Linked DNA regions of Stegostoma tigrinum. The protein of the gene in region 1 purifies or fractionates together with the protein of each later gene. This does not show direct contact. Links are inferred from orthologs where the notes say so. Each region holds a gene or a part of one and is shown on either strand. Other genes may lie near its edges.

Evidence for each region. Proteins that work in one complex are often made in the same cells at the same time.
Region 2: the proteins of nop58 (region 1) and importin subunit alpha-5 purify together in Homo sapiens (affinity purification with mass spectrometry; 3 studies listed by BioGRID and IntAct, with this or other methods). This does not show direct contact. The link is inferred for Stegostoma tigrinum from reciprocal best matches to the Homo sapiens genes NOP58 and KPNA1.
Region 3: the proteins of nop58 (region 1) and nucleolar and coiled-body phosphoprotein 1-like fractionate together in Homo sapiens (co-fractionation; 3 studies listed by BioGRID, with this or other methods). This does not show direct contact. The link is inferred for Stegostoma tigrinum from reciprocal best matches to the Homo sapiens genes NOP58 and NOLC1.

What each region holds. Positions count from the first base shown.
Region 1 is NC_081360.1:7,344,810-7,351,764, forward strand, and holds the start of nop58 (nucleolar protein 58), read left to right. Parts: upstream 1-3,850; 5' UTR 3,851-3,920; coding exon 3,921-3,965; intron 3,966-5,418; coding exon 5,419-5,495; intron 5,496-6,529; coding exon 6,530-6,582; intron 6,583-6,955. UniProt on the Homo sapiens protein: Required for the biogenesis of box C/D snoRNAs such as U3, U8 and U14 snoRNAs. Part of the small subunit (SSU) processome, first precursor of the small eukaryotic ribosomal subunit.
Region 2 is NC_081365.1:36,732,456-36,740,351, reverse strand, and holds the start of importin subunit alpha-5, read left to right. Parts: upstream 1-4,805; 5' UTR 4,806-4,920; intron 4,921-7,896. UniProt on the Homo sapiens protein: Functions in nuclear protein import as an adapter protein for nuclear receptor KPNB1. Binds specifically and directly to substrates containing either a simple or bipartite NLS motif.
Region 3 is NC_081390.1:19,023,840-19,031,730, forward strand, and holds the start of nucleolar and coiled-body phosphoprotein 1-like, read right to left. Parts: upstream 3,092-7,891; 5' UTR 3,072-3,091; coding exon 2,964-3,071; intron 1-2,963. UniProt on the Homo sapiens protein: Nucleolar protein that acts as a regulator of RNA polymerase I by connecting RNA polymerase I with enzymes responsible for ribosomal processing and modification.

The DNA of each region.
Region 1 (6,955 bases):
ACAGAATTGTAATTACCCTTCCGCCAATTATAAACCTTATCCTGCTGTATGTACCTATCCTTTTCCATGACTATTGTAAGCGTATTTTACTTATAGCCTTATCAGCACATATTTTAATAGAAAGGTAAATAGAAAGCAGGACATAACACCAGCACTTCGTCGGAGGTTCACTGATGATGTTACCTAGAATGGTAACATAACGTCTGAAAACGAACCTTCCAGCTCAGCGAGCAAACTCACATCCAGAACCTCAACCTGAGCTACAAATCTTCTCAAAACTCGCTAGCACGTATTTTTGAATAATTAATTTCAAGATTTTCCTTTGCCCAGAAGGGATTTGTAACTTTTCTCAGAGTTCTACAGTGTTTGTTTCTTTGCCAAACCTCAAACCAGTACTGCTCCTCCAGAACATCAGTGGAATCATTAATTGCCAGATGTGACAAGTCTTCAAGGTCTTTCAAGCCCACACTGATTTTTCTACATTTCCCACCAGGTCTTAATGAAAACCTTTAGTCAGGAGTACTGTTTCTCTCTTGTAAGTTAATGCTGAACCGGTGATTGTTCTCTATCATTACTTCCTTGCTGTTATACTTTGTACCTCTACTTACAAAGTATAACATCCCTATACATTATTAAGTGCTTTCTCGATCCATCTTGCTTCCTTCAGTGACTTAATGAATCACACTTCTCTTCTTTTTTATGTCTGCAATTGTCCGCACCAGCTGTCAATGTTCCCGTAGAGTTTATTAGGATCTCCTTCACAGTTCACATTTTGAAATTGTGCCCTGTACATCAATGCCTACATCATTAATACATAATGAAGAAGGCAGCAATATGAACACTCCTAGGGAGCTCATATATACATACATATACTATATACACATCCCTGCAGTCCAGAAACAATTCAAAACTATTGTATTTACTGTCATTAAGTTAATTTCATATCTGTACTGCCCTGCTCCTTTCATTCCATGGGTTCTAACTTTATTAACAAGCCTCTTATATGGCACTTTATCAAATGCCATTTGAAAATGCACATATACCATATCAAAGGCATTTCTCTCATCAGTTGTTTGTGTTAGCTCATCAAAACAGTCAAGCAATTTAGTTAAACACAATTTGCCCTTAAAAGTTTGCAGTGAATTTCCTTTATTCATCCATATTTATCATTGTAAACATTGTCCTCAATTGTCTTTGCTAAAAGTTGAATGAATGAATGATTTATTGTAACATATATCAAGGGAGATAGAGCGAGAAGTGTTCTGTCACCACAATTCGGTGCCATTTTAAGGTGGAAGAGAATAAAAAAAGTACTTAAATAGAGTTCATCTTCATCGGCTGGGTCCCAAACATGGCTCCTAGACTTCTGCAAGGTTCCTGCTCTGGGCCTATTGCAGCCAGGAGCCCCCACTCGAGGCAATGATACAGCCTCAGTCGATGATCCAACGCCACCAAAAGAGCCCACTCTCCAGACTCACTGCAGCCAGGATCCCTGCTCTGCCATCATTCCAGGAGTCCACACATCTGGCCAATGGAGCCCAGGAGTCTCCATTCTGTCTTCACTAAAGCTGCTATTCCAGGAAACCACATATCAAGCCTATGAGCCAGGAGTCATTGCTCCGGCCTCCCTGGGATGCTGGAATATAAAGAACAGGGTGTCATGGTGGCTCAGTGGTTAGCACTGCTGCCTCACGGCACCAGGGACCTGGGTTCGATTCCAACCTCGAGTGACTGTCTGTGTGGAATTTGCACGTTCTCCCTATGTCTGCGTGGGTTTCCTACAGGTGCTCCGGTTTCCTCCCAGTCTAAAGATATTCAGGTTAAGTGGATTGGCTATGCTAAACTGCACATTGTGTTCAGGGGTGTGTGGATTAGAGGGATAGGTCTGGGTGGGGTGCTCTTTGTGTTAGTGTGGACTTGTTGGGCCAAAAGGCCTGTTTCCACACTGTAGGGATTCTGGGATTCTATGAATGAAAAGAAGAGAGGGAAAAAAGAAATGCATGGCAGGCTTGTAGTGGACAGGCTGAATTTGAATACTTCCTACTGGGTCGGTGATACGTGAAGTTTCCCATGATTGAAGTTATAGAGACTTTGTTGACTTTATCCTGACAAATGTTTTGGAACATAGGTGTAAGATTTGCAGTTCTCTCGTCCTCTGGCAACATCCCTACATCTTAAGGATTCAAGAATATGGTCAGCACCTGCATAATTTACACTCTTACTTCCTTGGTTTTTGATATAAAGCTGTTTCATCTTGTTCTGAATAGCCTGTGGAAAATATTTGCCTCTATAGATAGGGTCGTCAGTGAGAGCCTTTTTTCCTTGGATGATGACAGCTAGCACGAGGGGACATAGCTTTAAATTGAGGGGTGATAGATATAGGACAGAAGTCAGAGGTAGGTTCTTTACTTAGAGTAGTAAGGGCATAGAATGCCCTGCCTGCAACAGTAGTAGACTCACCAACTTCAAGGGCATTGAAATGGTCATTGGATAAACATATGGATGATAATGGAATAGGTGTAGGTTAGTTGGGCTTCAGATTGGTTTCACAGGTCGGTGCAACATCGAGAGCTGAAGGGTCTGTACTGCGCTGTTATGTTCTATGTTCTATCCAACCTCTCACTTTCTTCCACAGTACAAAGCTCCTCCCACAACAACCTGTTTGGGACATGTATCACATTGTTGAAGTGTCAAAATCCTGGAACCTGCTACATAGGAAAACTATAGGACTGTGTTCACCACATACTGTAATGGCTCAAGAAGATAGCTCATCCACACTTTCTCAAGAGCAATTACGGATGGACAATGAAACCTTGCACTGTCAGTATTCCCCTGTGCTATGCATAAATAAATATAGTTGCTTGTTCATGCAGAACTTGAGAATTGCTGAAAAGAAAGAAAGCAGTTGAAGCCTTCTGCTTCGCACTCATCAGGATGAGCATAGGTCAACCCTTGGTGCCTGTTCTGCCTATGGCTAATAATCTACCTTAACACCTTATCTTCACATTATTCCTCTTGTCTGTGCTTTGGACACTTCAACAAACCTCAGGTACTTTACTTGTGAGATGAACAAAAGGATCAAAATCAACTTTCAATTCAACACAATTTTATTCACAAAATACGCTCAAAACACAAAAGGCACTACATGGGTGAATATTGTCTATAAAATTGCTCTTTCACAATTAAACTCCTAATTCTTAGATTAATTATTCTACTAATTGCCACATTAAGTCTTTGTCACCACCCTTACCTAAACTATTACTGGTAACAAGACTAGGACCAGGTACTGCCTATGCAGGTAAACTTGGCCAGGCTGTGTATTGGCTCTGATGAACTTGGTAACTTGGCAAATATGAATCTTGTGATATAACAAGGTATAGAACTGGATAAACAGCAGGCCAAGCAGCATCTTAGGAACAGAAAAGCTGACGCTTCAGGCCTAGACCCTTCATCAGAAAATATGAATCTTGAAAGTGGTTATCTTCTCACTCTGTCTCCAGGTAGTGACGCGGGGTGGGTGCTCTGCTACTGGGTCAGTTTGAGTTGATAGTATCACAGTGGGTTTCCACCTCTGTGTTCGAAAACATATTTCGAATTTACAACTGCTGTATGTATCAAGTTCTGAACAGTTCATTAAACACACCACAGAGCAGAGCGCCTGAACTTAATAAATTGCCCCAGACAGCTCGCATGGGCTTTATAGTCTCCACCAGCACGTGGAGTTACTCATGCGCCCAACTGGCTCCGCCCACCGCGGAAGTTGTGTGTGGACAGGGCAACGCCGCTCAGAACGAAGTGTGTGTGTTACGTGTTCGTTGATTTCGGGTGGTTCGATATTCTGTGTCTGCCTCTCCTTCCGCCGCTGGTACGCATGCGCGGTCCCATTTGTTGTCCTCGTGGTCAGTACGCAGCTGTTCGCCATGTTGTTGCTATTTGAGACCGCTGCTGGATATGCTATCTTTAAGGTATTTGACTGAGTTCTGTTTCTCCCGAATCGTCTGTTGTCTTTGTGCTTGGCCATTTTTCTTTCCTCACATTCCCCTTTTTCGCTCTCCTTGTGTTTCTTTCCCTTCGGGCCTTTCGTTTTCCTCCCTGGCCTTCCTTTCCTTTTTCTCTCCTCAGTGATGAACTTTTTTTTCCCCACCACTCAGCCAGACACCCCTTTCTGCCTAACCTTCTCCCCACATCCTACTTTTCTCGCTCGTGGTCTCTCTCTCTTTCTCTCTCTCCTCCCACCCCACTGGCCGCTTCTTCGCCGCCTGCTGCCGCCGCCTCCTTTCCCGCGTTCCTCGCCCGCCTTGGTCATGCTTGTTCATAGATTCTTCAGGGCACGTAGATACAAGATAGGTCAGAAGGCGTAGTGGATATTTTGACTTTCAGCCGAGGCTTTGAACACACGACTAAGTCAGGTTATACTGCAGCGGTGTTCAACGTTGATTTGTCCACAACTAGAATATTATGCGTCCTTTCGGAAGAATATGATTGCACTAGAGAGGATGTAGAAGAGCCTTACCAGGATGTTAACTGAACCAGAGAAGACTAGCGATGGAGAGGGGTTGGACACGCTGGGTCAAAAACGGAAACTAAGCAGGTCTGGCAGAGAGAGCTAATGTTTTGAGTACAGTGACCCTTTTTCAGAATTGATGGATTTGAAAGATTAACTTTTTTTTCTTCCAGACCTGAATTTTCCCAGCAGTTTCTGGTTTTGTTTCAGATCTTCAGCATTTGCAGTTTTTCGTTTGATACTGGGATTGGTTTTCTTCGGAGTAGAGGAGACTGTGTGTGTCTTTTTTGGTCTGGTTTGCCATTCACTTTTGTTTGCTTACTTATTTTTATTTGGGCTTAAAGCACTCATCTTAAACCCATACTTCTAAACTTTAAACCAAAAATTAATTTTTAATGTGGTCTGATTGCTTTACCAAAATGCTATTTTACCATGTACTGCCCTCCTCACATCATATTAACAGCTGTTTAAAGTTTTTTGATAAGATTTCCAGCTCGGGTTATGGATGAGGTTGTAGACATGTTCACCAAGCCAGTGGGTTTGGTCGCAGACGTTTCATCACCCTGCTAAGTAACAACATCAGTACACCATAGGAGAAGTGTTGATGCTTTGTCTTGTTATTTGTATGCATCGGTTTGGGGTGTTTAGTACCACTCCCAGTTCTGTGTTTCAGTAGTCTCTACACAGGTCTAATGGCTATTCCTTGTCTCTAATCCTGGGTATTAGTAGCAATTCACTTTCATAATAAACAAGGCTGTTAGAATTTAACCATGTCTTTGGACATGCAGAGCTGGCACTCATTTTCTGTTGGATTTGGTACTGGTTGTGTTTTTCTGACCCTTGGCTGCAGAAGCAGATTTGGGCAAGTTTGTTGTGATCTGATCTTCTTTGGGCTCCTCCCCCCACATCCATAGGTCCTGGATGAGAATAAGCTCCGTGAAGTGGACAACTTATGGCGGGAGTTTGAAACAGCTGAAAAAGCAAATAAATTGTAAGTTACTTTGATTTATGTTTATTCCTTCAAAGGCAACGTGTAATATTTATTTGAGTGCTGATATTTGGTGCAGCACTGAAGCAATGATGATGATGACACTGTCTTCCCGATTTAAGTACTGAGGGGTTTTTCAGTCACTCATCTGAGACTGCCAGTGCTGGATTGTGTAATAACCACCCTCTTAAAAGTGCATGATATTAGTCATGATTGAGCTAGCTATTCAGTATGAATAAACGTGTGGGAAAGGAGTTTGGCAGACAAGGCTGTCTAAGTTGTCTGCTCAAAATGTTTCCATGTTCGTAAGTGGAATGTTAAATGATGGTTTTATGATTTCATTCTATCTATGCCTGAACATCCTTTAGGTGCAGTGTGAGTAAAGATTACGGTAAAGCAGAGGGAGGTTCGAAGACAGACCTTCTGTTTCTTTTTCAAAACATGATGTGCTCAGGCGAGCATAGTAAATCTACTGCTTTGACTGAGACTGTGCACGTCAGAGTTCCTGGTAGAACAAATTGAAATAGCTGGAGATACTCGGGTCTGGCAGTATCTGTAGAGAGGAAACAGTTAACCATTTTGAGTCCTCTTGAAGAAGGGTCCCAGAACTTAAAACGTTGAGCTTGTTTTGTCTCCACATGCTGACACATGTGCTGAGTTCCTTCATGAATTGCTGTTTATTACTGCGTGTGCAGTTCTTCGTTTTATTTTAGATTTTTCTCGTGTTGCTGGTCATACGTTTTGCCATCTGAACTCAAGGGAAGTTAGTCAGAATATTTGCTGATTCACATTTCTTGTGTGTGTGAGAGAGGCAGACAGACACACAGTGTGCTCGGAATTGGCTGTAATGCCATATTTGAATACTGTTGGGAACAGGGATGTAATTCATTGCATTGGCCTATGCCCTGCAAAGAATGGCCATTTGGGGAAGGTACTAGAGAAATTAAATGGAGCATAATTTGGTATATTGACTGGAGGAGGGCAAGAGGAAATAAACAAGTAAGTGTTTTGTATTTTCATCTCTTTCCTGTCTGCAGTGTGAAGTTAAAACATTTTGAAAAATTTCAAGATACCACAGAAGCTCTCGCAGGTAAGGAAGTCTCAATCCACAGTTGTTAACACTGAAAACAGACAGTCAAGCCTGCTTGAATTAAATAGCCCACATTGGAAATTAATGCAATGTCAGTTAGCATTCAGGCCTGCAAAATACCAGTGTGCTCTTCCTCCTAACATTTGAAGAGAATCGGTCTAATAGTGAAAACTGAGCAGAATTAGAAAAGAACTGGCCACATATCAGGCCTTTGGTATATCTCAAGCAATCTCTCAGATAAGATGACAAGATTTCACTTTATTCATTAAGTCTCATTAGGACATTTTGGAATTTACTCTTGGGACATTAATGCTGGTTCAGCAGGTGATGTAATTGCCTGTTTTCTGGTTACTTTTGACAAGGCAGTGGTAAG
Region 2 (7,896 bases), on another chromosome or scaffold:
TTATGGGCAATTAGGAAATAAATTTGGCCTAACTAGCAATGCCCTCATCCCATGAATGAATAATTTTAAAAAAAAACTCATTCAGGCTTGACAGACCTGTACTGACTTAGCCATTTTTACCACGCACTTTCAAGTACTCTGCAATGTCAACTTTAATAATGGACTCTAAAATCTTAACAATGACCGAGGTCAGGCTAACCAGCCTAAAGCTTCCTGTCTTCTGCCTCCCTCTCTTGTTACATTAGCCATTTTCCAGTCTTCTGGTACCTTCCCTGACTCAAACGATTCTTGAAAGATCACCACCAGTGCTTCCACAATCTCCTCAGCTATGTCCTTCAGAACTTTGGGGTGTAGTCCATCCAATCTAGGTGATTGATCCAGTTTCCCCAACATTATCTCCTTATTGATGGTCACTACACTCACCTCTGCCCTGATTCTCTTCAAGTTCTGGTATGCTATCTGTCATTAGTTTCTCTGCCATTTCTTTGTTCCCCATTATTACTTTTCCAACCTCATTTTCCAATGGTCCAATGTCCTGTATCCCTTACCTTTTATATAATTGGCAGTGGAAGAGTTCAATGTCGTGTCTGCATAAAATTATAAAACGTGAGGCTGGATGAACACAGCAGGCCCAGCAGCATCTTCGGGTCTAGGCCCGAAACGTCAGCTTTTGTGCTCCTGAGATGCTGCTGGGCCTGCTGTGTTCACCCAGCCTCACATTTTATTATCTTGGATTCTCCAGCATCTGCATCTGCAGTTCCCATTATCACTCTGCATAAAATTCATTGCGGTGAGGCGCAAGGGGATAAAACTATGTCCTTTGCTGAGGACCACATTTCTGGGGATAGTCCAGCCATCGATATGCATTAGAAACCCACTGACTCCCACAGTTATCAGAGATAATGGGAACTGCAGATGCTGGAGAATCCAAGATAATAAAATGTGAGGCTGGATGAACATAGCAGGCCAAGCAGCATCTCAGGAGCACAAAAGCTGACGTTTCGGGCCTAGACCGAACATCAGAGAGGGGGATGGGGAGAATGAACTGGAATAAATAGGGAGAGAGGGGGAGGTGGACCGAAGATGGAGAGTAAAGATAGGTGGAGAGAGTGTAGGTGGGGAGGTAAGGAGGGGATAGGTCAGTCCAGGGAAGACGGACAGGTCAAGGAGGTGGGATGAGGTTAGTAGGTAGCTGGGGGTGCGGCTTGGGGTGGGAGGAAGGGATGGGCGAGAGGAAGAACCGGTTAGGGAGGCAGAGACAGGTTGGACTGGTTTTGGGATGTAGTGGGTGGGGGGGAAGAGCTGGGCTGGTTGTGTGGTGCAGTGGGGGGAGGGGACGAACTGGGCTGGTTTAGGGATGCAGTAGGGGAAGGGGAGATTTTGAAGCTGGTGAAGTCCACATTGATACCATTGGGCTGCAGGGTTCCCAGGCGGAATATGAGTTGCTGTTCCTGCAACCTTCAGGTGGCATCGTTGTGGCACTGCAGGAGGCCCATGATGGACATGTCATCTAGAGAATGGGAGGGGGAGTGGAAATGGTTTGCGACTGGGAGGTGCAGTTGTTTGTTGCGAACTGAGCGGAGGTGTTCTGCAAAGCGGTCCCCAAGCCTCCGCTTGGTTTCCCACAGTTATCTTGACTATACACCCTCACACCCTGCTTTCCATAAGGACTCCATCCCCTTTTTTCAATTTATCTGCCTACATCGAATCTGTTCTGATGATGCTACCTTCCGCAGGGGATTTCAAATGTCCACCTTTTTCCTCAATTGAGGATTTCCTGCTACTGTGGTTGATGGGGGTCCTTACCCCTATTTAACCCATCCCTCACACTTCTGCCGTCATCCATGCTCTTCCCTCATAACGATAGTGTCCCAAGGTCCTCACTTACCACCCCACCCCTGGTCCACTCCTCCCTCCATTTCCGAAACCCCTATGGCACCTTCCCATGCAATTACTGAAGCTCTAACACCTGCTCCTATACCTCCTCCCTCCTTGCTTTCGGATACCCCGACACACCTTCCAGCTAAAACAGCAATTTACCCGCATTTCATTCAAATCTAGTCTACCATATTCACTGTTCACAATGTCGTCTGCTCTACACTGGGGACATGAAATACAGACCACATGACTGTTTTGCAGAACACGTAGACTCTATTTATAAAAATGACACTCAGCTTCCAGTTGCTTGCCACCACCATGTTTCAACACCAATATTTCTGTAGTAGGTCTGCTGCAGAGTTCCAGGGAGCCTCAGCACAAGCTTGAAGAACAACATCTCATTTTCTGCTTGTGGACCCTGTAACATCTCAGACTCAACATCAATTTCCAGAACTTTAAAGCCTAATTCAATATTTCCATTTTTTAAAAATCCACCCCCATGCACAGTTCTGTCTTGACATAGAGTAATAATGTTATACGGCAGGGAAACAAACCCTTTGGTCCAATTCATCCATGCCGACCAGCTATCCTAAACTGATCCAGTCCCATTGCCAGCATTTGGTCCATATTACTTTAAACCCGTCCTACTCATGTAACCATCCAGATGTCTTTTAAATGTTGAAATTGTACCAATCTTCCCCCACTTCCTCTGGCATTTTGTTCCACACACAGACCACCCTCTGCATGAAAATGTTGCCCCTCAGGACCCTTTTTAAATCTTTCCCCTTTCACCTTAAGCCCATGCTCCATAGTTTTAGACTCCCCTACACTGGGAAAAAGACTTTGTCTATTCAGCCTATCTATGCTCTTCAATTTTATAGACCTCTATAAGGTCAGCATTCAGCCGCTGATGCTCCAGGGAAAATAGCCCCAGCCAATTCAACCTCTTCCTTTGCCCAAACTCTCCAATTTCAGCAACATCCTTGTAAATCTTTTCTGAACCCTTTCAAATTTAACAACATCTTTCCCATAGTAGGGAGATCAGAATTGAACACAGTATTCTAAAAGTGGTCTAACCAATGTCCTGTACAGCTGCAACATGACATTTCAACTCCTGTACTCAATGGAGTAAAGCTGCCTTCACCACGCTGTGTACTTGGAACTCCACTTTCAGGAAACTATGCACCATACTTCCCAGGACAGTATAAGTTCTTGCCTTGGTTTGCCATATGAAAATACAATACCTCACGTTTATTTAATTAAACTCATTTGCCACTCCTTGGCCCATTAACAATCTGATCAAAGAGCCACTGCGCTCTGAGGTAACCTTCTTTGCTGTCTGCTACACTGCCAATTTTGGTGTCATCTGAGATCTTACTAACCATACCTCTTAAATTCACATCCAAATCATTTATATAAGCAACGAAAAGCAGTGGACCCAGCACTGATCCTTGTGGCACACCACTGGTCACTGGCCTCCAGTGCAAAAAACAATCTTCATCCACTGTCTCCCACCTAGGAGCCAGTTTTGTATCCAGGTTGGCTAGCTCCCTATGGATTCCATGTGATCTAATCTTGCCAACCAGTCTACCATGCAGAACCTTGTTGTGGTTGCTTCTAGCACTGGAAACTCATTCCCATACCTATTATCACATTAATTAGTTTGATTTCAACACTGCTACTCTCCTACTCTCAGCTCTCATTACCACTTACAGACAGTAAGGACTGCAGATGCTGGAAGCTAGAGTCAATAAACGTGCAGCTGGAAAAGTACAGCAGGTCAGATAGCATCCAAAGAGCAGGGAAGTCAATGTTTTGGTCCTGACAAAGGCTTTTGGCCCAAAACTTTGACTTCCATGCTCTTTGGATGCTGTCTGACCTCTCATTACCACTTACTCAGCTTCTATTCTGTCCTGGCTCACTAATAATAGTCTCCTAACTGTTCACCCCTCTCATATCTCTCTCTCTGGGCTCCATCTCCACCTGTCCGCTCAACTCTGCCCTGCGTCCCCCAAATCTGATCGTCAGCAATAAATACCACATTTTCTTAGCTGCTATCAGTTCTGATGAAGAGTCACCGGACTCGAAGCATTAACTCTGCTTTCTCCCCACAAATGTTTCCAGAATTGGTGTGTTCCACCAGCAGTTCCTGTTTTTGTTTCTGATATCCAGCATCTGCAATTCTTCGTTTTATCTTCAAGAGTGGAAAATGTCTATTCCAGACTTGCAAGTTCCATTCCACCGCTTCCAGCCCCATAATAGAAGGGAAATTGTTAAATTTGGAAATCTGAAAGAAGCACATAAAAATGCTGGAAATCATCAGAAAACCATGATAAGAAGTGGCAATTACAGACGGGTCGCAACATTTGACAGATTCAGCTGGCATCTCTTCTGTCAGACTCCTCACCCCCGTCCCCTAAAAGCAGCGAGCCCCGCAGCGCAATATCTCCAACATTTGGGGGTGTTCAGTCCCCAGTCCATTCATTCCTTGCGTTTTTGAGACATTCGCAACAAATGGCATTAACCGCAACGCTGCCGGAACCCGCGTGAAGCAGATGTTCCAGAGATAATAGGAACTGCAGATGCTGGAATCTGAGATAACGAGGTTTAGAGCTGGATGGACACAGCAGGCCAAGCAGCATCAGAGGAGCAGGAAGGCTGACGTTTCGGACCGAGACCCTTCTTCAGATATGGGGGGAAGCTCTACACTTTGTTATCGTTGAAGCAGACATCGGTTCTGTGGACGTTCCGAAGTATCGAGCGTGCGCAGTGGAGAAAGTGGATTGCATCCTCACGGGAGCCCGTGACCTAACAAGACCAGAGCGAGCATGCGCAGTACGCGTGCGCAGCTAGGATGAGGGCGTCATCAACACTTGGGGGGGTGGTGACGCGTGTGCATGCTGTTGCGAAAGTGCGCGTGCGCGATAGGGAAGTGTCTTGAATTTACGCTTGCGCGGCCGGTTGGCTGTCGGCTTCTGAAAGCACCAGGAGGTGGAAGTGAAAGAGTGCGGCTCTGTGCAGTAAATACAGAAGAGCTAGCTAGTAAGTTAAAGTTGCTTTGTACTGCTTAAAACATTGTTGAGAAATTGGATGTAAGCAGTGGAAGTTGAGCTTTGTCAAAGAAAACACTGCTGTTCTACTGACTGATTTGAGGTGTTAAAATTCCGGCGTGGGCCTAAAGTGGGTGGGAGCCACGGGGTTGTCATCAATTTAAACTGATTAAATAGCAGGCAAGGGTGGCTCTGAACAAATCTTCCGGGATATTTTGTTATCGGAGGTTTCATTCGGTTTTTATCTTGACGGATTTGTTTCAGTGATTTTTGTTTTTTGACATTCGTTTCTCTGAATCCGCAAATAGGACTTAAATGCGTTTCCACATGCTTTCTGTTCCGAGTTTTAATTTAAAGCACTGACAATAACGTTCCCTAATTCTGTTATGTAATATAGTGTCTAAAGTACAGTTTGTGAATTGTATTGAAGTTCGCCTGTGATTGTCATATTTGGGCCTGATATTGCAATTCTGAAGATGTTGGATGAATGATAATCCAGGTGTGTGTTGTGCTATACCTTTTCAAAAAAAACTGATCACAATACATAATTATTAGATTCCATTTAAAAGGATTAAAGTAGCTTGTTAAATAGCTCCTGTGCCTGAATCTACTTTAAATTAATTTACTGTTGGATTTTGGATGGCAACCTGGAGGTCAAAAAGATTCCAGTTTGCCTGCTTTGTTAGGGATAAGTAACTGAATTTCAGTGAATGTAATTTTTTTTTATCCAGTGTCAAACTTTAACTCAGTAAGTCAAATGCTCTGTATTGTGGGTGCACAGCTTTTGTTGTAATCAAAATGTTTTATAAAGGAAAGCTTCAGGAGGAACATTAGACTATGTTTTCCATTAGCTAGTAGTGTTCTAATTTTAATAAAAATACAAACTACTTGTTCTAGTAAGGATGTACTTTTACCTGGTAGATTTGTAGTAACTAATCATTTTCATGCTTATTTTTAAGTTATTGTATTTCTAAAGATACACAAACTGCCTGGAGGAGTGACTGGTGCTGTTGACATGCTGTGCCCAAGAAAGTATTAATAATGTGAATTTATTAGAGGACAAGATCAATATTGGTAATTTTTCTTCCTCAAAAACTCTGATAATTATGTGATATGCAAAAGAGAGGATAATTATTTGATTTAAGACCATAAAACACAGGAGTGGAAGTAAGACTATTTGACCCATTGAGTCCACTGTGCCATTTAATCATGGCTGATGGGCATTTCAACTCCATTTCCCTGCACTCTCCTGGTAGCCCTTGATTCCTTGTGAGATAAGAATTTATTGATCTCTGCCTTGAAGGCATTTAACGTCCCGGCCTCCACTGCACCCCGTGGCAATTGAACATAAACGCAGAAAATAGAAGAAGGAGTTGTCTATTCAGCCCTTTTGAACCGGTTCCATCATTCAGTATGATCATGGCTGATCATCTAATTCAGTCTGCTTTCTCCTTTTATCTTCTGGTCCCTGTGTAGCCCTAAGGATTGTATTTAATTCCTTCAGAAAACATTCAATGTTTTGACCTCACCTGCTTTCTTGGACAGAATTGCACAAGCTCAGCAGTCTCTGGGTGAAGAGATTTCTCCTCATTTCAGTTCTACATGACCTACCTCTATCTTTGAACTCTTGGTTCTAGACTCCCCAGGCATTGGGAAGCATCCTCCTTGCATTTATGCTGTCTAATCCTGTTAGAATCTTGTAAGCTTCTGAAATCTTGTTCTAAATGCTGGTGAATATAGTCCTAACAGATCCGGTCTGTCGTCATGTTGGTCTTTCTGTCCCAGGGACTGGTCCAGTAAACCCATGTTGCAGTGCAAGATCAGAAGCTCCTTCCTCTGATAAGGAGACCAGAACTGCACATAATGCTGTGTGGTCTCAGTGCGGCCCTGTACAATTACAGCAAGACATCCCTGCTCCAATACTTGAATCCTCTTGCTACGAAGGGCAATTTACCTGGATGTGAGTTTGCTCGCTGAGCTGGAAGGTTCATTTTCAGATGTTTTGTCACCATTCTAGGTAACATCATCAGTGAGCCTCCGGTGAAGCGCTGGTGTTATGTCCTGCTTTCTATTTATCTGTTTAGGTTTCCTTGGGTTGGTGATGTCATTTCCTGTTCTTTTTCTCAGGGGATGGTAGATGGGCTCCAAATCAGTGTGTTTGTTGATGGAGATCCGGTTGGAATGCCATGCTTCTAGGAATTCTCGTGCGTGTCTCTGTTTGGCTTGTCCTAGGATGGACGTGTTGCCCCAATCAAAGTGGTGTCCTTCCTCATCTGTATGTAAGGATATTAGTCATAGTGGATCATATCTTTTTGTGGCTAGTTGATGTTTGTGTATCCTGGTGGCTAGCTTTCTGCCTGTTTGTCCAATGTAGTGTTTGTCACAGCTCTTGCAAGGTATTTTGTAAATTACGTTTGTTTTGCTTGTTGTCTGCATTGGGTCTACATTGGACAAACAGGCAGAAAGCTAGCCACCAGGATACACGAACATCAACTAACCACAAAAAGACGTGTATCCTGGTGGCTAGCTTTCTGCCTGTTTGTCCAATGTAGTGTTTGTCACAGCTCTTGCAAGGTATTTTGTAGATGACGTTTGTTTTGCTTGTGGTCTACATTGGACAAACAGGCAGAAAGCTAGCCACCAGGATACACGAACATCAACTAGCCACAAAAAGACATGATCCACTATCACTAGTATCCTTACATACATACAGATGAGGAAGGACAACACGTCCATCCTAGGACAAGCCAAACAGAGACACGCACGAGAATTCTTAGGAGCATGGCATTCCAACCAGAGCTCCATCAACAAACACGTTGATTTGGAGCCCATCTACCATCTTCTGAGAAAAAGAACAGGAAATGACATCACCAACCCAAGGAAACCTAAACAGATAAATAGAAAGCAGGACATAACACCAGCGCTTCACCGGAGGCTCACTGTTACCCTAGAATGGTGACGAAACATC
Region 3 (7,891 bases), on another chromosome or scaffold:
AGATATTGGGGGCTTTGCTATTCTGTTTTTAAAAAAAAAAAAATCGAGAGAAGTTGGAAGGCAGGCTTCAGAATCTTGAATTAATTCACGCGATGTGGAACAATTTGCAGATCAATCCACAGATGCCTTGAATTCAGAAGTGATTTATGAGAATGCTCTCTTGACTGGAGGATTTCAATATAGGGGAAAGAGTGGATAGGGTAGGGTCATTTTCTTTGAAACAGAACAGTCCATGAAGGGGGTTTATAAAATTATGAGGGTTCCAGGTAGAAAGGCTTTGAGTTAACGGGAGGAGGCAGGGTTCTAAACCCTGGGCACAGACTTAGGACAAAAGGTAGGTTTAAGAGAGGAGTTGATGGGAAATTGTTTCACTCGAAAGGTAGTGGGGATCTAGAGACAGAAACTGTCATAATATTTATGGAGTACTTGGATATGCGCCTGAAGTGCTGTAATCTAAAAGACTACAGACCAAGAGGAAAATGCTACATGGAGCTGGACAGTTCCTCATCGGCTGGCAAACAGAGCTTGCAAAATGGCCCAATAATTAGGTTGTGAGTTAATCTCAGCTCAACATATTTACTTCCAGCCCTTAACCATTATTGCTCACGATGGATTCAATTCCTTGACCAAGACTGGAAGGAGCTACTTCACCTGTCCCTGTAACTGCGTTAACAATTATCCTTAAAAGTATAGGGTCTAGGCCCGAAACGTCAGCTTTTGTGCTCCTGAGATGCTGCTTGGCCTGCTGTGTTCATCCAGCCTCACATTTTATTATCTTAACAATTATCCTGCTAGTCAGTTCAGAGTTTATGGGGAGGAGATCAAGAAAAGAAAAGCAAATCTCTAAGTAACAAATTGATCTGAAACAATCTATTTCCGTTAAGTCCAATCACAGGGCATTCATAAGGTGTAAGTCATAGCAGCAATGTGTTCACCAGTGTCTTTTTTAAAAGAAGTTTTTACACATTTGCCTGTCTGTCAGCTTTCCCTGCTTAGTATGGCACCTCTGTACTTAGAACACATTCCTTCTGAGCCTTCCACCCTCAGTGCAGAGACAGGTAGATTATTACGTAGAACTGTGACAACATACCAAGAAGCCATTCAGCCCTTCGACAATAATCTAATCAGTACCATTCTCAGACCCTCCCCTGTTCCATTCTCACTGGTCCTACACCATTCCTGTTCCACCCCATATCCGTCCCTGGTCCCATGTGCACTCCTCCATGGCTTTGTGCCCATCAGCCCCTTTCAGAGAATCCCGATAGTATGGAAGCAGGCCATTCAGCCCATCGAGCTCACACCGGCTCTCTGACAAGCATCCCATTCAGACCCACCCCCCAACCCTATCCCTGTAACCATGCATTTCCCATGGCTAATCCACCTAGCCTGCACATTCCGGAGCATTATGGGCAATTTAGCATGGCCAATCCACCTAATCTGCACATTTTTGGATTGTGGGAGGAAACCAAGTCAGACAGAAATTCCAAGATGGCGGCAGAGTATGACACTCCAGCCGGACCTCAACTGCACTTCTTTTTCTTTTCTTCACTTTTCCTCCCTCCTTTTGGTGTTTTTTCCCTCTTCTTCTCCTCCTCCTCCTCCTCTCTTGGCCTCCAACGACTCCTGGCCAGGCGGAGCGGCCTCCCAGTGTGGCAGTCTGAAGCGAACTCCCATGCTCACAATCCTGAAGGTGAAGTCTGAAGTCTGGAGCCTGGGCCTGGTGCGGACTGGGCACTAGGTGCCACTGTGGTCTGGGTTGGAAGACCATTGTTCTGAACTTTAATTTCTGCAACACTGGGCATTTTATTTCCATGCCTTCTAAGATCTTGTAACTATGTACCCCTGTGCCGAAGATGGCGCCGCAAGCAGCAATGGATAAAAACTTTTCACTACCCTCATTGTGTACTTAGGACAATAAAGTTAATTCATTCACATGCAGACCCTACACAGTCAGTCACCTGAAGGTAGATTCAAACCAGAGTCCCTGGCACTGGGAGACAGAAGTACTAACCGCTGTGCCACCCATTCTCTCATTCCACCCATTTCTTGCCCCACAATCCCATTTTCCTTCTACTCTGCTGACTTCCATACCTTTCACCATACCCTGGCTCTTGTCACCACATCCCATTTGCCCCTTCCTCCCAAATGGCCCTGTTTGCCCACTTTGCCTCCAACTCATCTTGCTGCCCCTCTGACCCTTATACTCCTACTTGACCCCATGCCCCAAACCCAGCCTTCCGGTCCCAGATAACAAAGCGTGGAGCTGGATGAACACAGCAGGCCAAGCAGCATCTCAGGAGCACAAAAGCTGACATTTCAGGCCCAGACCTTTCATCAGATAGGTCCCAGTTTTGTCCCCCAACCTGTTCTGCTCCATTTCCCCCACTCAGTTCCAACTCCCCTCAAGCACCAATCGGATATAAGTTAGGAAATCTGTGTGTGTCACCGCGATGACCCTCCTTCAGCAGGCAGCATGTTACAGACCGGTGCGGGGTAGTCCTTCCTCACGTTCAACACCCACCCCTTGCCCCCGCCCGTCCCAAACCCCAAAACACCTCGAATCCCACCTACCACAGAGACGAGGGTCATAACATGTCTGAGCAGGTCGATTTAAAAAGAGAGACAAAAACATGCACAACCATCCGTGGCAGGAGAAACTATGGGCCACGTGTGCCGGGTCCATGCGGTTTGAAAGCAACGCTGTAAGATGCTGCATGTATCTCCCCTGAGGTACATTCAGGGACACTTGGGGGCCGGAATGGAACGTTGCCCAGGTGCTCCCGGGGAACGTTCCATTCCGGCCCCGCGTGCTCCCGGGCAACGTTCCTCTCCCTCCGCGCATGCCCGGCCTTCTCCGGAGTGCCGTTATCGAAGCCCGTGAGCAAGGCCACAGAAGTGCGGCCACCACGTCGAAAGAGAACTAACGAACAGTCGATCTTAGCAGAGCAGAGGTGGCAACATACCACGTTTGACTGCTTCAGGAACTGCTTGGCAGCCTTGTCGAACTTATTCTGCAGCAGGAAACCGTAAATCTGCGGGTACAGGTCGCTGGGCACCACACGCGCGTCCATGTTGCGCACAATAACACGTCCTCCCCTCCCCCCGCCCCCCCGGTCTCAGTACCAATCGCCTACACCTCACTGATGCCCACTGCGGCTGCGCGGAGTCTGTGCAACACGTGACCCAGAGCCGGCCGGCGTTTTCTGCGCACGCGCGGATCCGTCCCAGGTGCTGACGGCGTTTTAAAGTCATTTAGACTCGAAACGTTAACTCTGCTTTCTGTGCAAGATGTTCTGAGTTTCTCCAGCAGTTTCTGATTTTTGCATTGTAGGGCGTTCTGAAGAAGGGTTAGTGGACTTGCAACGTCAACTGTGTTTTCTCTCTGCACAGATGTTGCTACTTTTCCTGAGCAGCAATTTCTTTCTGTCTTGCAGGAGTTCTGAAGGAGGGTCACTGGACTCAATTTGTTAGAACATAGAACACTGCAGCATTGTACAGGCCCTACGGCCCACGATGTAGTGCCAACCTACTATCCTACTAAGATCAAACTACCCTGCATACCTTACATTTTATTATCCTCCATGTGCCTATTCCAAGAGTCACTTTAAAGTCCCTAAAGTATCTGACTCCACTACCACTGTGGGCAGAGCATCCAACATACTTTCTGACCACAGATGCTGCCAGACCAGATGTGTTTCTGTTTTTGTTTCATATCTTCAGCATTCACATTTCTTGTGTTTTGTTTTATTCGCATTGTAAGGCTTTTATGTTCACGGTGTAATCTGCATTGCATCACACGTACGGATCATTTTGACTCCACCTGCGTGTGCTAGTGCAGACAGACTTCACTTGAACCACTTTCCACTCTGCTGAAGCTCTCATCATACATTTCCCCACACTTTACCTCTAGATTCAACAATACCAATGCAGTCCTGACCTGTCCACCAATAAAGGGGATGTTGATGGCTTAGAGATACAGGCTACTAGACTAGGTGGGATCGAGGTTCACAAGGAAGAGTTATTAGAAATCCTACAGAGGGTGAAGATAGATAAGTCCCTTGGGCCGGATGGGATTTATCCTCGGATCCTCTGGGAAGCCAGGGAGGAGATTGCCGAGCCGTTGGCATTGATCTTTAACTCGTCATTGTCTACAGGAATAGTGCCAGACGACTGGAGGATAGCAAATGTGATTCCCCTGTTCAAGAAGGGGAGTAGAGACGACCCTGGTAATTATAGACCAGTGAGCCTTACCTCAGTTGTTGGTAAAGTGTTGGAAAAGGTTATAAGGGATAGAATTTATAATCATCTAGAAAAGAATAAATTGATTAGGGATAGTCAGCACGGTTTTGTGAAGGGAAGGTCATGCCTCACAAACCTTATTGAGTTCTTTGAGAAGGTGACCAAACAGGTAGATGAGAGTAAACCGGTTGATGACCTATCCCCTCCCTACCTCCCCACCTATACTCTCTCCACCGATCTTCTTTACTCTCCATCTTCGGTCCGCCTCCCCCTCTCTCCCTATTTATTCCAGCTCCTTCTCCCCATCCCCCTCTCTGATGAAGGGTCTAGGCGCGAAACGTCAGCTTTTGTGCTCCTGAGATGCTGCTTGGCCTGCTGTGTTCATCCAGCCTCACATTTTATTACTAAGGTCGGTGGAGTTGTGGAGAGTGACGAAGGATGCTGTAGGTTGCAGAGAGACATAGATAAGCTGCAGAGCTGGGCTGAGAGGTGGCAAATGGAGTTTAATGCAGACAAGTGTGAGGTGATGCACTTTGGTAGGAGTAACTGGAAGACAAAGTACAGGGCTAATGGTAAGATTCTTAGCAGTGTAGATGAGCAGAGAGATCTCTGTGTCCATGTACACAGATCCTTGAAAGTTGCCACCCAGATTGACAGGGCTGTTAAGAAGGCATACAGTGTTTTAGCTTTTATTAATAGAGGGATCGAATTCCGGAACCAAGAGGTTATGGTGAAGCTGTACAAAACGCTGGTGCAGCCCCACTTGGAGTATTGTGTACAGTTCTGGTCACCGCATTATAAGAAGGATGTGGAAGCTTTGGAAAGGGTGCAGAGGAGATTTACTAGGATGTTGCCTGGTATGGAGGGAAGGTCTTACGAGGAAAGGCTGAGGGACTTGAGGCTGTTTTCATTAGGGAGAAGAAGGTTGAGAGGTGACTTAATTGAAACATATAAAATAATCAGAGGTTTAGATAGGTGGATAGGGAGAGCCTTTTTCCTAGGATGGTGACGGCGAGCATGAGGGGGCATAGCTTTAAATTGAGGGGTGAATGATATAGGACAGATGTCAGAGGTAGTTTCTTTACTCAGAGAGTAGTAAGGGAATGGAACGCTTTGCCTGCAATGGTAGTAGATTCGCCAACTTTAGGTACATTTAAGTCGTCATTGGACAAGCATATGGACGTACATGGAATAGTGTAGGTTAGATGGGCTTGAGATCGGTACGACAGGTCGGCACAACATAGAGGGCCGAAGGGCCTGTACTGTGCTGTAATTAGATTAGATTAGATTAGATTCCCTACAGCGTGGAAACAGGCCCTTCAGCCCAACAAGTACACACCACCATTTGAAGCATCCCATCCAGGCCCATCCCCCCATAACCCTGAACACTATGGGCAATTTAGCATGGCCAATCCACCTAGCCTGCACATCTTTGGACTGTGGGAGGAAACCGGAGCACCCGGAGGAAACCCACACAGACAGGGGGAGAATGTGCAAACTCCACACAGACAGTCGCCTGAGGCGGGAATCGAACCCGGGTCCTTGGCGCTGTGAGGCTGCAGTGCTAACCACTGCACCACCGTGCCACCCCTAATGTTCTATGTTCTATGATGTTGTCACTGGACTACCAATCCAGAAACCCAGGAAATGTTATCAGCAGCAGCAGCGCGAGCAGGAGCTTGGAGCAGGAGCCTGTCGGGAAGCTGATGAGTCACTGTTTTTGAATCGTTAAAAAGCTTACCTCGTGAATAGGTGGAGGGACGCTGAGCAGGAGCCAACATGGGACTGGTGAGTAAGTGAGGTAATATATTTGTGTGGTTGCGTTACCTGAAACACTACTCGGGTAGTGTCTTCCACCCATCCTCCTCCTCTAACCGAAAAAAAGGTTCTGTGTGCTTGATTGGTAAGGTAACAAGTTTATTTTTTATTCTTTTTTTAAGTCTTTGGGAATTTAGAATAATGGGAACGGAGGTCAAGGCAGTTGAATGTTCCTCCTGCAGAATGTGGGAGGTAAGGATCACCACTAGTGTCCCTGCTGACTACCTCTGCAGGAAGTGCACCCAACTCCAGCTCCTTGAAAACCGCGTTAAGGAACTGGAGCTGGAGCTGGATGAACTTCAGATCATTCGGGAGGCAGAGGGGGTTATTGAGAGGAGTTACAGGGAGGTAGTCACTCCTCAAGTACAGGAAAAAGGCAGATGGGTTACGGTCAGGGGACGGAATGGGAACCAGCAGGCAGTGCAGGGATTCCCTGTGGCCGTTCCCCTCAACAATAAGTATACTGTTTTGGATACTGTTGGGGGGGATGACTTACCGGGGAAAGCAGTGGGGCACAGGTCTCTGGCACAGAGTCTGTCCCTGCTGCTCAGAAGGGAAGGGGGAAGAGGAGCAGAGCATTAGTCATTGGGGACTCCATAGTTAGGGGGACAGATAGGAGGTTCTGTGGGGACGAGAGAGACTCACGGTTGTTGTGTTGCCTCCCAGGTGCCAGGGTCCGTGATGTCTCTGATCGTGTTTTTGGGATCCTTAAGGGGGAGGGGGAGCAGCCCCAAGTCGTGGTTCACATTGGCACCAACGACATAGGTAGGAAGAGAGACGGGGATTTAAGGCAGAAATTCAGGGAGCTAGGATGGAAGCTGAGAGCTAGGACGAACAGAGTTGTTGTCTCTGGTTTGTTGCCCGTGCCACGTGATAGTGAGGCGAGGAATAGGGAGAGAGAGGAGTTGAACACGTGGCTACAGGGATGGTGCAGGAGGGAGGGTTTTGGATTCTTGGATAATTGGGGCTCTTTCTGGGGTAGGTAGGACCTCTACAAGCAAGATGGTCTTCACCTGAACCAGAGGGGTACCGATATCCTGGGGGCGGAATTTGCTAAGGCTGTTCGGGTGGGTTTAAACTAATTCAGCAGGGAGATGGGCACCAAAATTGTAGTTCGACTATAGAAAAGGTTGAGAGTAGGGTGGTCCGAAATAAAGTTTCAGGGAAGCAAGATGGCACCGGCAAGCAAGAAGTTGGATTGAAGTGTGTCTACTTCAATGCCAGGAGCGTCCGGAATAAGGTGGGTGAACTTGCAGCATGGGTTAGTACCTGGGACTTCGATTTCGGAGACATGGATAGAGCAGGGACAGGAATGGTTGTTGCAGGTTCCGGGATTTAGATGTTTCAGTAAGAACAGAGAAGATGGTAAAAGGGGCGGAGGTGTGGCATTGTTGGTCAAGGACAGTATTACAGTTGCAGAAAGGATGTTTGGGGGCTCGTCAACTGAGGTAGTATGGGCTGAGGTTAGAAACAGGAAAGGAGAGGTCACCCTGTTGGGAGTTTTCTCTAGGCCTCCGAATAGTTCCAGAGATGTAGAGGAAAGGAGAGCAAAGATGATTCTCGATAGGAGTGAGAGAGACAGGGTAGTTGTCATGGGGGACTTCAACTTTCCAGACATTGACTGGGAACACTATAGTTCGAGTACTATAGATGGGTCAGTTTTTGTCCAGAGTGTGCAGGAGGGCTTCCTGACACAGTATGTAAATAGGCCAACAAGGGGCGAAACCACATTAGATTTGGTACTGGGTAATGAGCCCAGCCAGGTGTTAGATTTGGAAGTAGGTGAGCACTTTGGTGATAGCGATCACAATTCTGTTTTGTTTACTTTAGTGAT